Linked DNA regions of Schizosaccharomyces pombe. The gene in region 2 interacts genetically with the main gene of each other region. Each region holds a gene or a part of one and is shown on either strand. Other genes may lie near its edges.

Evidence for each region.
Region 1: mutations in ftm6 (region 2) and gal1 together harm fitness more than expected from each alone (negative genetic interaction), as found in Schizosaccharomyces pombe (one large-scale study listed by BioGRID).

What each region holds. Positions count from the first base shown.
Region 1 is NC_003423.3:4,484,916-4,491,817, forward strand, and holds gal1 (galactokinase Gal1), read left to right. Parts: upstream 1-3,382; 5' UTR 3,383-3,575; coding exon 3,576-5,135; 3' UTR 5,136-5,356; downstream 5,357-6,902. Other genes in the region: tgd1 (nucleotide-sugar 4,6-dehydratase), read left to right, coding at 1-241; UDP-glucose 4-epimerase/aldose 1-epimerase Gal10, read right to left, coding at 362-2,503. UniProt on the Schizosaccharomyces pombe protein: Galactokinase is a key enzyme in the galactose metabolism where it catalyzes the conversion of alpha-D-galactose to galactose 1-phosphate.
Region 2 is NC_003423.3:7,082-12,629, reverse strand, and holds ftm6 (transmembrane helix domain-containing protein), read right to left. Parts: upstream 2,062-5,548; coding exon 1,621-2,061; 3' UTR 1,279-1,620; downstream 1-1,278. Other genes in the region: SPOM_SPBC1348.04 (methyltransferase), read right to left, coding at 17-454; ftm5 (transmembrane helix domain-containing protein), read right to left, coding at 3,616-4,650.

The DNA of each region.
Region 1 (6,902 bases), 4.5 Mb from region 2:
TATTGGTTCGGATGATGAAATCGATAATCTAAGTTTGGTCAAGTTCATTTGCGACTATTTCTTATATCGAAAGCTGTCTTTGAAAAACTTGGATTATTCAAAATACATAACGTTTGTTCAAGATAGAAATTACAACGATTCAAGATATTCGTTGAATTATGAAAAAATTAAAAGTTTAGGTTGGAGACCTCAAATCCCATTGGAGACAGGGCTAAGAAAATTAATTGACGAGTACTATTAATGAGAAAAAACTGAAAACACATAATAATACTTTAAAACAACTTTAACGTTGTAAACCACAAATTTCCTTTTATTGAACAAAAAGATGCTTAATCGGCTGGGTTTTATTAAGTTTTTTCATTTAATAGTATTCTCCACTATTGTACGATGCTGAATCTAAAAAATGTTTGTTTTCTTCTAAATCTTGTGCGTAAAGGGAGAATTTCGACCTCGCACCATAAACTTCACCTTTGCGTAAGATTACCTGTTTTGACCATTTCTCATTATTCAAAGCGTTGATAAATCTACCTGTTTCCACACAAAATCCGCTGCGACTTTGAAACTCACAGATGTCATTTCCATCACCGGTGTAAAGTTGAAATGCAGGTTCTGTTGTAGACACCACGAGCTTCACCGGCACAGAGGGATGTATTACTTCAACAATATTTTTTAAAGAATACTTTCGTGTGTCCAAACAGAACTTGCTAGCTTCCCTGTCTACTATAAAGCAATTGTCAAACGAGATGTTTGGGTCAAGCTTGGTTGGTTTAGTTATGTCATTTTGCCATTCGACAATATCACCAGTCGGTAACGAGGTTTCCGAATTCACTTTTAAATAGACGTTAGTCGTGCTTTTAATTATTGTTCCGTCAATAGTTTTATTAGGAGAGGCTAAATTCCAGTAAGAATGATTTGTCAGATTTACGGCTGTTACATTGAGTTTCGAGTATTCTGGAATAACAGATTTGTATTCAATTTCCAAAGAGTTATTTTTGATTGTATATTTGACTAAGGTTTCCAGGTCAGAAGGAAAGCCGTTGTTACCATCTTTGTCAACTAAAATGAATTCCAGTGTATTGTAGTCCTCATACTGTCGAGCGATAGGCCCCAAGAAAAACTGCTTATCGAATCCATTATTTCCTCCATGTAAGGTGGTTTTATTGTTTTCGTTCTTACATAATGTGTACAAATGTCCATCCACTTCAAATTGTCCATTCGCTATTCGGTTGGCAAATCTGCCAATTGTCGCCCCAAAGAACGGATTCTCTTTAAGCTTATACCGTGAAAAATCATTAAATCCATTTACTAAATTCCTCCCTTTATATCTTACTGCTTGCACTAATGCTCCGTAATTGGCTATGGAAACCTCAAGATCTTGAAAGCAGATAGTATGGAGTCTATTCTTATAATCCATAATCCCAAGAGTGTTAAACAACTTCCATTTGTAGTTGTCAATTTGAAATCCAAAAGGATTTTCGATCGTCCATTTCCACAAGTCTCTACAAGCATCTGTAATACTCAATTCAGCCTTCCATTTTAATTCACTATTTGCTCGATTCGGGCTTGCTGTCAAGTTGAGAACATCACCTGTTCTTCTGCCCACCACTTCATACGGTAAATCTTTACCTACTTCCTTACAAAAGGCATGATAAATATCGAACACGGAGGAACCTTTTCCTGTTCCCAAGTTCCACTCTCTGTACATTCCTTCACTATTATTGATTTTGTTTAGGTAGTTTAAAGCGGCAATATGTCCCTTAGCTAAATCCACAACGTGTATGTAGTCTCGGATAGGAGTCCCATCATGGCTATCGTAATCATCACCAAATACTAACAACTTTTCTCGCCTACCGATGGCTACTTGGGCTAGAAACGGTAAAAGATTGTTGGGAATACCCAAAGGGTCTTCGCCAAGTAGGCCTGATGGGTGAGCTCCAATTGGGTTAAAATATCTAAGTATTGCGCCTCGCCAAGTATTGTCGCTAGTGTGCAAATCTTTAATGATATTTTCAATAGCGTACTTTGTTTTCCCGTATGGATTGGTTGGGTCATTAGGACACGACTCTGGGATTGGAATCATGTTGTCAAATCTAGTAGCATCGCCGTATACGGTGGCAGATGAGCTAAACACAACTGTCTTGACCCGGTGTTCACGCATTACATTTAGTAAAGTAATAGTACCGCAAATATTATTGTCGTAGTACTCCAGTGGTAATTTCATTGATTCCCCAACTGCTTTTAAAGCCGCAAAATGAATAACACCCTTGATTTTAAAGGTATCAAAAATTTGAGCCAAGCCTTCTTTATCGCGAAGGTCAAGCTTAAAAAATTTAATTGATTTTCTCACAATAAATTCGACTCTTGCTACAGCATCATAACACGAATTGCACAAATTATCTACAATTATTACTTTATATCCATGGTTGATTAGTTCAATGACTGTATGTGAACCAATGTAACCAGCGCCACCAGTTACAAGAATGTATTCGTCTTGAACCGCCATTTTATAAAGAACAAAAAGGAGCTTAAAAAAATACTCAAAAAATTTGTTTTCGAAATATGGGTTAAGGTTCTTTAGGGGCTTCTTATGTTAGCTTTAATATGCGATATGTGTGTGACTAGAGTATCTCCAAACGTAAGCATATATATACAATTTTAAAATGTAACGTGGCTTCTCCAGGCGTACAATCACATTACCCCAAGTTTCGTTAATTAAACTGTGACTTTCTGCATCGAATATTCTAGCCATATTCAAGCAACAAAAGCTCCCATCTTCTCCGCTTTATTATAAGCTATGATTACCGGATTTCGTAAAAAAGCGCATACCCAACAGTTCTCAACTTAGGTTGGTGCTCTATTGGTTCTTCTCAGTGGGGTACGGTTCGTTTAAATGATATTAAACTGCATGCTATTACATGGTTGAAACGTTAACTTACCCATCTTTTGCGGATTGAGAATTTGATGTGGGGGCACAGAAGAATAAAGACACAGATGTTCCATTAAAAGTATGAGAATTATTGTCATTCTTTTGGTGTATTTTGTAGTCGCAAGGTCTTTTATAAAAAATTACCAAGTATTTCGCAGAGAATTGTCCGGAGGTTGAAATAAGAAATTAAGAAACTTAATACAAACGGAATTCCAAAAATATTTTTGCAAAGCCTTTATTTATATTAAACAACTGATATTTTTTAATCAATGTCACAAAGTTATTTTTTATGAATACCGTTTTCCGAACCCTCCATGCAACACTTTTAACTTCACCGTATGTCTCAGGTAACGCAAAGTCTAAATGACATAAATCAGTAAACAAGAAGTAAATAAGGCAAAAAGGGTCAAACTTTTGACAATTTATATAATCGTAGTAGTATAACGTGGTTTGCTTGACTGATCAAACTAATTTTTAAGGCAAGAAGAAGTGTTTATCGATTTTCAGAGCAAATAAACAAAAAGATAAAAGCTGCATCTATATTTTTTCAAAAAGAAGTGAAAAAAGGAGAGAATACCTTTTCATTGATCATTTTCAAGTTTACTTTTTCTTTACCACATTTGTAATTTTTTCTGATTGGTCTCAAATTATGGCTACCGTTCCTACATATCACGACTTATCATTTTACTCCAACCCAAAAGAAAACAAAGCTAGGTATGCAAAGTTGCTAAACAGTTTTGAACAAAAATATCACTGCAAGCCAGATTTTTTTAGTCGCTCGCCTGGCAGAGTAAACATCATTGGCGAACATATTGACTACAACTACTTTTCAGTATTGCCAATGGCAATTGACGTTGATGTTATTGTTTCAGTTACCACAAGTGATGATGCCAAAGTTGAGTTGAATAACACGAATCCAGAATTCAAGGAGGAAATATTGGAATTACCGAGTGACGGGGCAGTGATTGAAATTAACAAAACCCACCACACCTGGGGAAACTACTTTCGATGCTCTATGATTGTTGCTCATAAATATATTTTAGAGAAATACCCAGAATTAGTCAGTGGGGGTAAGAAGCCTTTAAAAGGATTAAAGTTGATTTTTGATGGTAACGTTCCCACTGGTGGAGGACTATCATCTTCGGCGGCCTTCTGTGTGGCATCGATTTTAGCCATTTTGAAAGCCAATGGAATTAATACAATTACCAAAGAAGACCTCGTCAAGATTAGTGTTGTTTCCGAGCATTATGTAGGTGTCAACACGGGCGGTATGGATCAATGTGCTTCTATCTATGGAGAGCAAAACAAGGCGCTTTTGGTTCAATTTAAACCAAAGCTTATGGCAACACCGTTTAAGATGCCGGTACTCAAACCTCATGACATGGTATTTCTAATCTCTAACACACTTGTGGAAGCAAATAAGCAAGAAACCGCATTAACAAATTACAATCTACGAGTGGTGGAAATGGCAGTTGCTTCAGAATTTTTGGCAAAAAAATTTAACTTAGAATTGCCAAAGGAGTCAAATTTACACACTGGTACATTGAGAGGATTCATGGACGAATACTACGAGAAGCACCTAAAACAGCCGCATTGGGATGGAAGCGACATTGACATGGGCGTTCAACGCATGCAGGAAATGTTAAGGCTCACAGAAATAATGTTTTCTGAAGAGCAAAAAGTGGGTTTTAAGACTGAAGAGCTGGCTAAGGAATTAGGGTTGTCTGTGGAAGAGTTTACTAAAGTTTTTTTAACAAAAATTCCAGTAAAATATGAACGCATGAAAATCTATCAAAGGACCGTGCATGTGTACTCAGATGCGATGAGAGTACTGCAAGTGTTAAAATTGTTTCATCAGCATAAGGACAGCGATGATCCTCAAAAGTTTATGTTGGCATTTGGTAGACTATTAAATGACTCTCAACGATCGGAAGATATATATAATAATTCGTCGTCTCCCGAGTTAAGAGAGGTATGCAAAATATCGTTGGCTAACGGAGGTTATGGAGCCAGAACGACGGGTGCTGGATGGGGTGGATCTGCGGTACATCTCACTACACACGATAAACTAGCTAAACTGGTTGAAGCATTGACGGAACAATACTATAAAAAGCAGTTTCCTAAAATTACTCAAAGTGAATTAAATGCCGCTGTTGTCGTATCGAAACCGGCTGCTGGATCTTGTATAGTACAGTTAGCCGAATACTGATTAACAGACTTTTTTCAGTATAATTTAATCAAATCCCGAAATACTTATTGAATGCTAGTTTTAATTGAAAAAGCAAATAAATAAAGAATCACAGAAAGTTTTTTAAACAACGAAATATTAGAAATGTTTTTCTTTCGTTTCGCCAGTGATGTGAGTAGGAAGATCAACAAAAAATGGTTATAAATAAACGAGATTAGTGCAGTTGGTTAATTAAATTGAAACCTTCGCGATTGAATTGTACAAATTATATTAAATAGTTTAAAAGAAGACAGTGGTTCCCGCTGATAAACATCGATTCACTTTTTATTATTAGAATATCTTTCAACATAAATATATAGTTTGGGAAATCAACTTTTAAGAATCAGCAGGTGAACATTACAGAACAATGTGACTAGACTTTGTATGGAAAAGAATATTGTTGGCTTTTAGAACATTGGTTTTAGTATGAACTTTGGCTACACATTATTCTAAAATATATTTTAGAAGTGTTTGATTCCATATTCATTAGCAGGAGAAAACATGAAAATCCTATTGGAAATCAAATAGTATAATATATACGAATTTACTGAAGACTCTGCATAAAGTTTTGATTTGAGTTTGAAAGTTTATTATTTGTTTGATAATAATATTAAATTTAATGAGCTTATATCTGAAGCTACTCCAAAAGAAAAGAATCTTTATCATTTTATTAAGCCAATTATATGTTATGGTATTCTTTTTTTTGGGGGGAAGGGATTTATAAGCTTAATTCGTGATGCAAGTTTTTAAAAGAATTTTTTAGAAAATTATATGGCTAACAAAATTTGCGGAAAGATACTATACTTACCGGTATAGCTTCTTAAAAGAGATCATTTTCGTTTTTAGTCAATAAAAAGTTAAATATCAGTACCTGCCATAATTGTATATGGTAAAGCTATCAATTTTCATATGATGTTCAAGGAGCCTCAAAAAAGAATGAATAAAGTGATCAAAAGTTCTCTTTTTAATAGTAGACAATCTGATATAAATATCAAGCAAAATTAAATCACCTAATTTCGATTTAAGCAAATAGTCAAATATATAAATTTTCGTTAACTAAAGTTTTACATTAGCTTTAGGAAGGCTTATATGACTTCGTTCCGAAACCACTTTATACTCTCCATATTTTATTTACTTTTTCAGATAACTGGATATGAGAATACATACTTTTAATTTTCACTTTCGTTTTTTTAGAATGATAGAATTTATTACGTTCATTTTTTTGATACTATATATAAGGCAGATGAATAATATGTGCAGAAATTGTTTTTATTTGATCGCATAGGAACACGCAAAGCTTGCAATTCTAACTTACATGTCAATAAATCCTTAACATAAATAAGTGCAGTGATTTTAGAACAAATAATGCAAATTAAAATTCCCTTAATTTAAATACGAGGCAACCTGGAAGTACTTTAAAACTGTTTAAAAAGTTCCACATATTTTCAGTTTGGTAGCAATTTGTAAATATATCTTACTTTAGATTGCTTTTTTTTGGGAACTTGTAGCTCAATATGAACTTTTATAACATTCTATTGTAAAATGTGTTAATCGTGCTATACTTAACTTTTTTATCAACTTCCATCATAAATCTCATACCGGATACTTAACACTTGCTTAATTGTTAAAGACTTTTATTACAATCAAATATATTTGTTGTGTTTCTGTTAATTTTAAATTATAACAACGGTTTCACAAACATAAAAGCAATAAAATTGTAGCGCTTGCATATTTAATACTGAATAATTA
Region 2 (5,548 bases):
TCAATCTTCCAATAGTTTATAAAGAAAGCTTTTTGACATTGTTTCTTTTTAAAGCGAGGGAATACCTTTTATGGCCCTGCCACCGTCTATAACGTGATTTGTTTGTTTCGCTAAACGCTCTTAGGAAAACGGAGCTATCAGAGTGACATATATGACTTAACGAAGCTGTGTATGGCTCATGATCACTATTTAGAATTGAATGAAAACAACCAATGTCAATCACAGTGTCGAAATGCCCCTTGAATTCATTTAATCTTGAAAAATCGCGTTGATTAAAGTTGACATTACTTTTTTCACTAGATGTTTTATCGATTGCTTTAGAAATAGCCCTTTCGGAAATATCAATACCCACGACTTTATATCCAAGACTGGCTAAATATCTAGCATTTCTATTTGGTTCACAACCGGCATCTAATACATTCTCATGTAATTTCCCCAGTTGTACAAGATTCATGATCTATTCGTCTGGTTTCTCATTATCAAATGGTGTTGCGGGATCTTCATACATATTTTCCCAAACTATTTTTTACTTCAGAGATATATTTCTTCATTGTTCTTAATGATATATAAAAAATGGTGAAATATTTATTTATTGCCCCATCATGTTTATTTTTATATCCTTCTTTCTCTGTCAGGAAATCTATTTCCGAGCTGACGATAAAAAAACATGTTGCAAGTCGCCGAAACTACCTCGGCTTTTATTACTATGTCCGAAAAGTGCGCGAAATATTGGAATGGCTTGTAAATTATGCATTTAATCAAATAAAGTGATAGTAAGCGCAAAGTGTATGACTCAATGAAAATCGGGTGTATCAACTACTCAGTTGTTTACCATACAATGTATTGTAAATTATGGGTAGTGTCGTCGCTATTACATTTAAAAAATATATTATATTGAAGGTATCTAATAAGAAGTAAATGTTTTTCTGTGTAATAATAGTGAATTCTTCTCATCAAAAATATAAACGAACTGATTTTTCGTCACCTTATTAGGTTATACAAAGTCATAACAATGCAAAACCAAAGCGGATAGCATATCAAACTAAGAATATGACTTGCTATTAAAAATTAGTTTCGCTTGAGTTTTATTTTAAGAGTAGTAATAGTCAGAATTTATTGTGCTGATACACTTCAACTTACTTGATTAATAATTGAAAAAGAGAAATTTACAATTGAAATTGAAATGGATGGATTTGAAACAAACCATTCGTCAACATCACCGCTACTTTAAAAATGCTACTGTACTTGCGAGTATAACTACACAAAAGTACATATTTAAGCGGTTGCATCAAGTAATGTCATATATAGAAATACAATAATATAAACGGAGCACAAACTGAACCTCGTTCTTGATATATCAAGTCTTCTTTATTGTACCATAATGTTGTATGTCGTTGTGCTATATTTTTTTGTAAGTTACAATCATACTGATTGGCATAGCTTCTGCTTTTAACTTAACGGTGATCAAGCCATATTTGATCAGGTTAGGCAGAATTCCAATGATTGCATTAGAAGGTTTAGATCTTCAAGTCAATTTTACGATTACAAGCAAAGGAGAAATAGCAATCAAGCCAGTATCGAATACTCATTACACGTATATAGCAAGATACTATGGAATTGTTATTGTGATATGAATCTTGATGGTGGATTATTATAGCCCTGGTGCAGATCACTAATATCGGTTTTCGAGTAAGAATGATTCTTGCTTTCTGACCTAGTGACTTTCTCAATAGAGAAAAGTATAATGACTTGAAATTTAGAAAACGTTCTAATGGAGTTAATGGAGTGAGTTCTAATGAAACGAGGAAAAAATTTGTTATGATATACTACGACGCATCCAAATGTAAAGGATCGGAATTTAGATGAAGCCGATGGTACTTCCGAGTAAATGTACCAACAATATAATAAATAAATCAGCAATTTTACTGCTAGACAATATTTCACTGTGAGGCTTAGTCTTGGTATAAATAGAGGGACTCTGTCAAAACAAATATTTTGAACTAGACTCGAATTCTTCATAATTCTATTCACTTGAGTGTTTATTTTTTTTAACAATGCCATTACATTTACGAGATATGTGGATATCCACTGACGATTATAAGGATGTTTTACTTACGTGTCCTGTGTGGTATGAAATTAGTGAAAGAGAATTAAATCATGCTGTTTGGGGACAATATTAAAATGGTGAAGTTATAATGAAACAGTTGTTGGAAGCGATTAGTTTCAAAAATTAGCGACTCGTATTTTGTTTATTATTATTATTATTTTTTCTTTTTTTTTTATTCGCTGTTTTAAAATTGTTTCCAGCAATCTTCTTCCTGTTCTCTTTTTATCCGTTTGACAACACATTTTGCTAATGCTTTTTTTTTTTTTTTAGTTCAAAGAAGACTGGTACGAGAAATAAACAAGTTGAGTAGTTTCGAAAGCAATTGGCTCTTTCTTTTTTTTTTTAAACTTGTCTTATTAATGTTAACATAACATTTTGTTTTTAGTCCGAGTATGTCGTCAGTTGAAAACCGTAACGGTTCTCATTGTGCCTGTTCTTCCGGTTTATACGAATAAGGTAAGAACATTCAAGAAAGCGTTTGATATGAAGTCTGTTCCATTATTGCTCTTAGTGCCTGACAAACGTTGTTAGTCTGTTTTGAGTTTACAAGTTTGTTAAGCTAATAGCCATTCATTGATCTTCATTGTTACATGCTTTCCATGGAATAGTTGGAGGTGTTTACTTTTCAACTTGTTAGCGATCGCTTGCTAACATTTTTAATAATAGGTACTTTGTTGTTCTCAGTGTGACTGGCACGAACCAGCAAATGTTTACTCGATTGAACAAAGGCGTAGTCATGATGATGATCTTCCTACCATTAAGGGTTCTGATGCTAGTACTCAACAGTATGAAAGAAAAACTTATATTACCGATGCTAGTCCCGAATCTCAGAATCTGTTTTTAAGCAAAAGTAAAGAGGAGGGAGTTATCTTCTTATGCATACAAGTAAGCTTTTAACCTTGATTCTATTTATTCACTTTTACCATTTACTACTTTCGCAAATTCCTGTTTTTTGTTGGGGATATGAAGGGGAATATAAGGGTAAAGTAGATGAAATGGATGTATTTGAAAGTTGATTTGGATTCGATTTATTACTTTGAATCCCCGTTTATTATTATACGTTTATGTCGTTTTAAAGAAAACCATGCGATGTACTATATTAATTTTGTAAAATATATATTATAGATAAAAAAATTGTTGGGAAAATGGGAAAGCAAGTTGAAAATAATTAAATTCAATAAATTAGCAAAATATGTTTATGAAGGTAACCAGTTTTTTCTTTTTATTTTTTTTTTGTCTATATGTCAGATTCGCAACTTTTAAGTTTGAACAAAACATTATTTCACATCGACTCAAAGGTTATGTGTATTTAAAACGTTCCAGTAAAAAAATATTCATTTGTAAAAAATAAATAGGTGGTATATTAAATAAGAATGAACTTACTACACAATTTCTGTGTAAAAAAGTGAGATTAAAATAACTGGATATTAATCCATTGATAAACAAATAATAAATAAAATAATCCCGGTAACCCCTTTAAAGGTGAATCAAGTAAACCATGGTTTTTGTCAAATCATTTTCTCTTGAGCCTCTTCAGCTACATTTCGATTGTAGGCAAGTGCTTCATTATGGGTGGGAAACATTATGTAACATGGAAAAGCAATTTTCTCCATAAAAGTGAAAAGATCACCAATGATCACCGACAGTCTGTAATCAAAGTTTCCAAATATAATATTCGACAGGTAATGCAACATTGGAGATGCACAGAATATAAAGATAAATGCATTTAGCATTCTTCTAAAAAATCTGGCTTTTGAAGCATTTTCGTAAGTTGTTACAGACGTGCATTGTTTCAATAAATGACAAATAGAATACACCCAAATTGCAGGAGATACCTCATACTGGATCATGTCAAAAATCTCTGATACTACATATACGTCTTTATATAAAGAAATCCAGTATACAGAACATAAAGCAATGACAATACTAATTCCTTTTATCATAAGATATTTAGGAACAGTTCTAGTTATGCCGAAACCCAATGCACAGTAAATCACAAATAATCGATAAAAATTTGTCCGAAGAAAATCAATTATTTCATACACCGAATAAAATTGTCTGTATTTTATACATTCGGAAGAAAAAACATACTCCTCAATGCATTCTTGTAGAGTCTGATTTAACGCAAAAAGAAAAATATAAAGGCAGATTACCTTTTGAGCAGGAAATATAATCTTGCTGAAATGTAAACAAGTCCATATCCAATAGCTCAAAAATAATAGTACTCCTCCCATTTCAGCTACAGAAATATAGTTCCAAATGCCAATTTCGTCATTATTAATTTGATCTTCTGAAACCGAATACCCCATAAGGTCTAAATTAAATTCAGCTCCATCCATTGTCATTGGTCTCGCAGCTACGCAGTAAGAACCCGTTTCATTAATCAAAATAGTTTTCCATATACTTGTAATATTTTCGCCCGTCCATACCGATTCCGAGTTACCAGAATATGCAAATGATCCCATCTCTCGGTTTTGGGAATTAAATTCCTCAAAAAAAGATTTTTGGATCACCGTGTCTCTTGATTTTACAAAGTCAATCATCTCCTCAACTTGATCATTCCAGCCAATTATATTTTGCCATTCATTTGCTTCAAAAAAAGACAAAGCAATTTCTCTTTTATCGAAGCTTTGTGCAAAAAAATTAGCATGTATTCTGGCACCGTTAGATTCCTCCACAATGAACCAACTGCACTTAAGAGTGAGCTTTTTGGCTTCTTTAGGCAGTCCATTATGGTTTGACAAGGTAGAGTTTTCCTTTTATGTAGTAATAGATACTGCTTTGGCGTCTACTTCACCTTTAACTAGAGTATGGAGAACTAGGTTGCATAACAGCAATGCTAGTGTTTTATGAAGACGCATCTTTAAAAAAGTTGGTAAATGATGCTTGCTCAAGGGAAAAGCAGATCAGGAATGATTAGCCTTTTATATCTTTCGTTTTGGAGTTACCGTGCTCCACGTTGCATAACGTTAGCGTTAAAACATTGGGAAGATTGGAGGGAAAAGAACACAAATAAATGGTTTGTTCACGCATCATACCTTTACTTCAAGATTTAAATTGTACAAGCACAAGTTACTGAATATAATAAAAAATCTGTTAAGTATGGAACGTGAAAGATAAAGTCATTCACCGTTGACTAGTTCTATTCCGTTAGTACTCGTACTTCATTCGATGATTGAGTTAATAACGCCGTTGGTAATATCCCGAGAATACAGAAGCTTTTTAAAAGAAAAATATAGCAAAAAAAAAAAAAACTGGTAATGACCAGTGGATAAAGAGATAGCATTCGTTTTTTTTTGAATTTAGCAATTATTAATTTAAAGCATAGATTGAAATTCAGCATGTACACTACCAATCTTTTTTTTTTTTTTTTAATTTCAATAGTTTGTTTTTACGATTGCGAGCAAGCGCCAGAACAGATTATAACGTAGAAAATTCAAT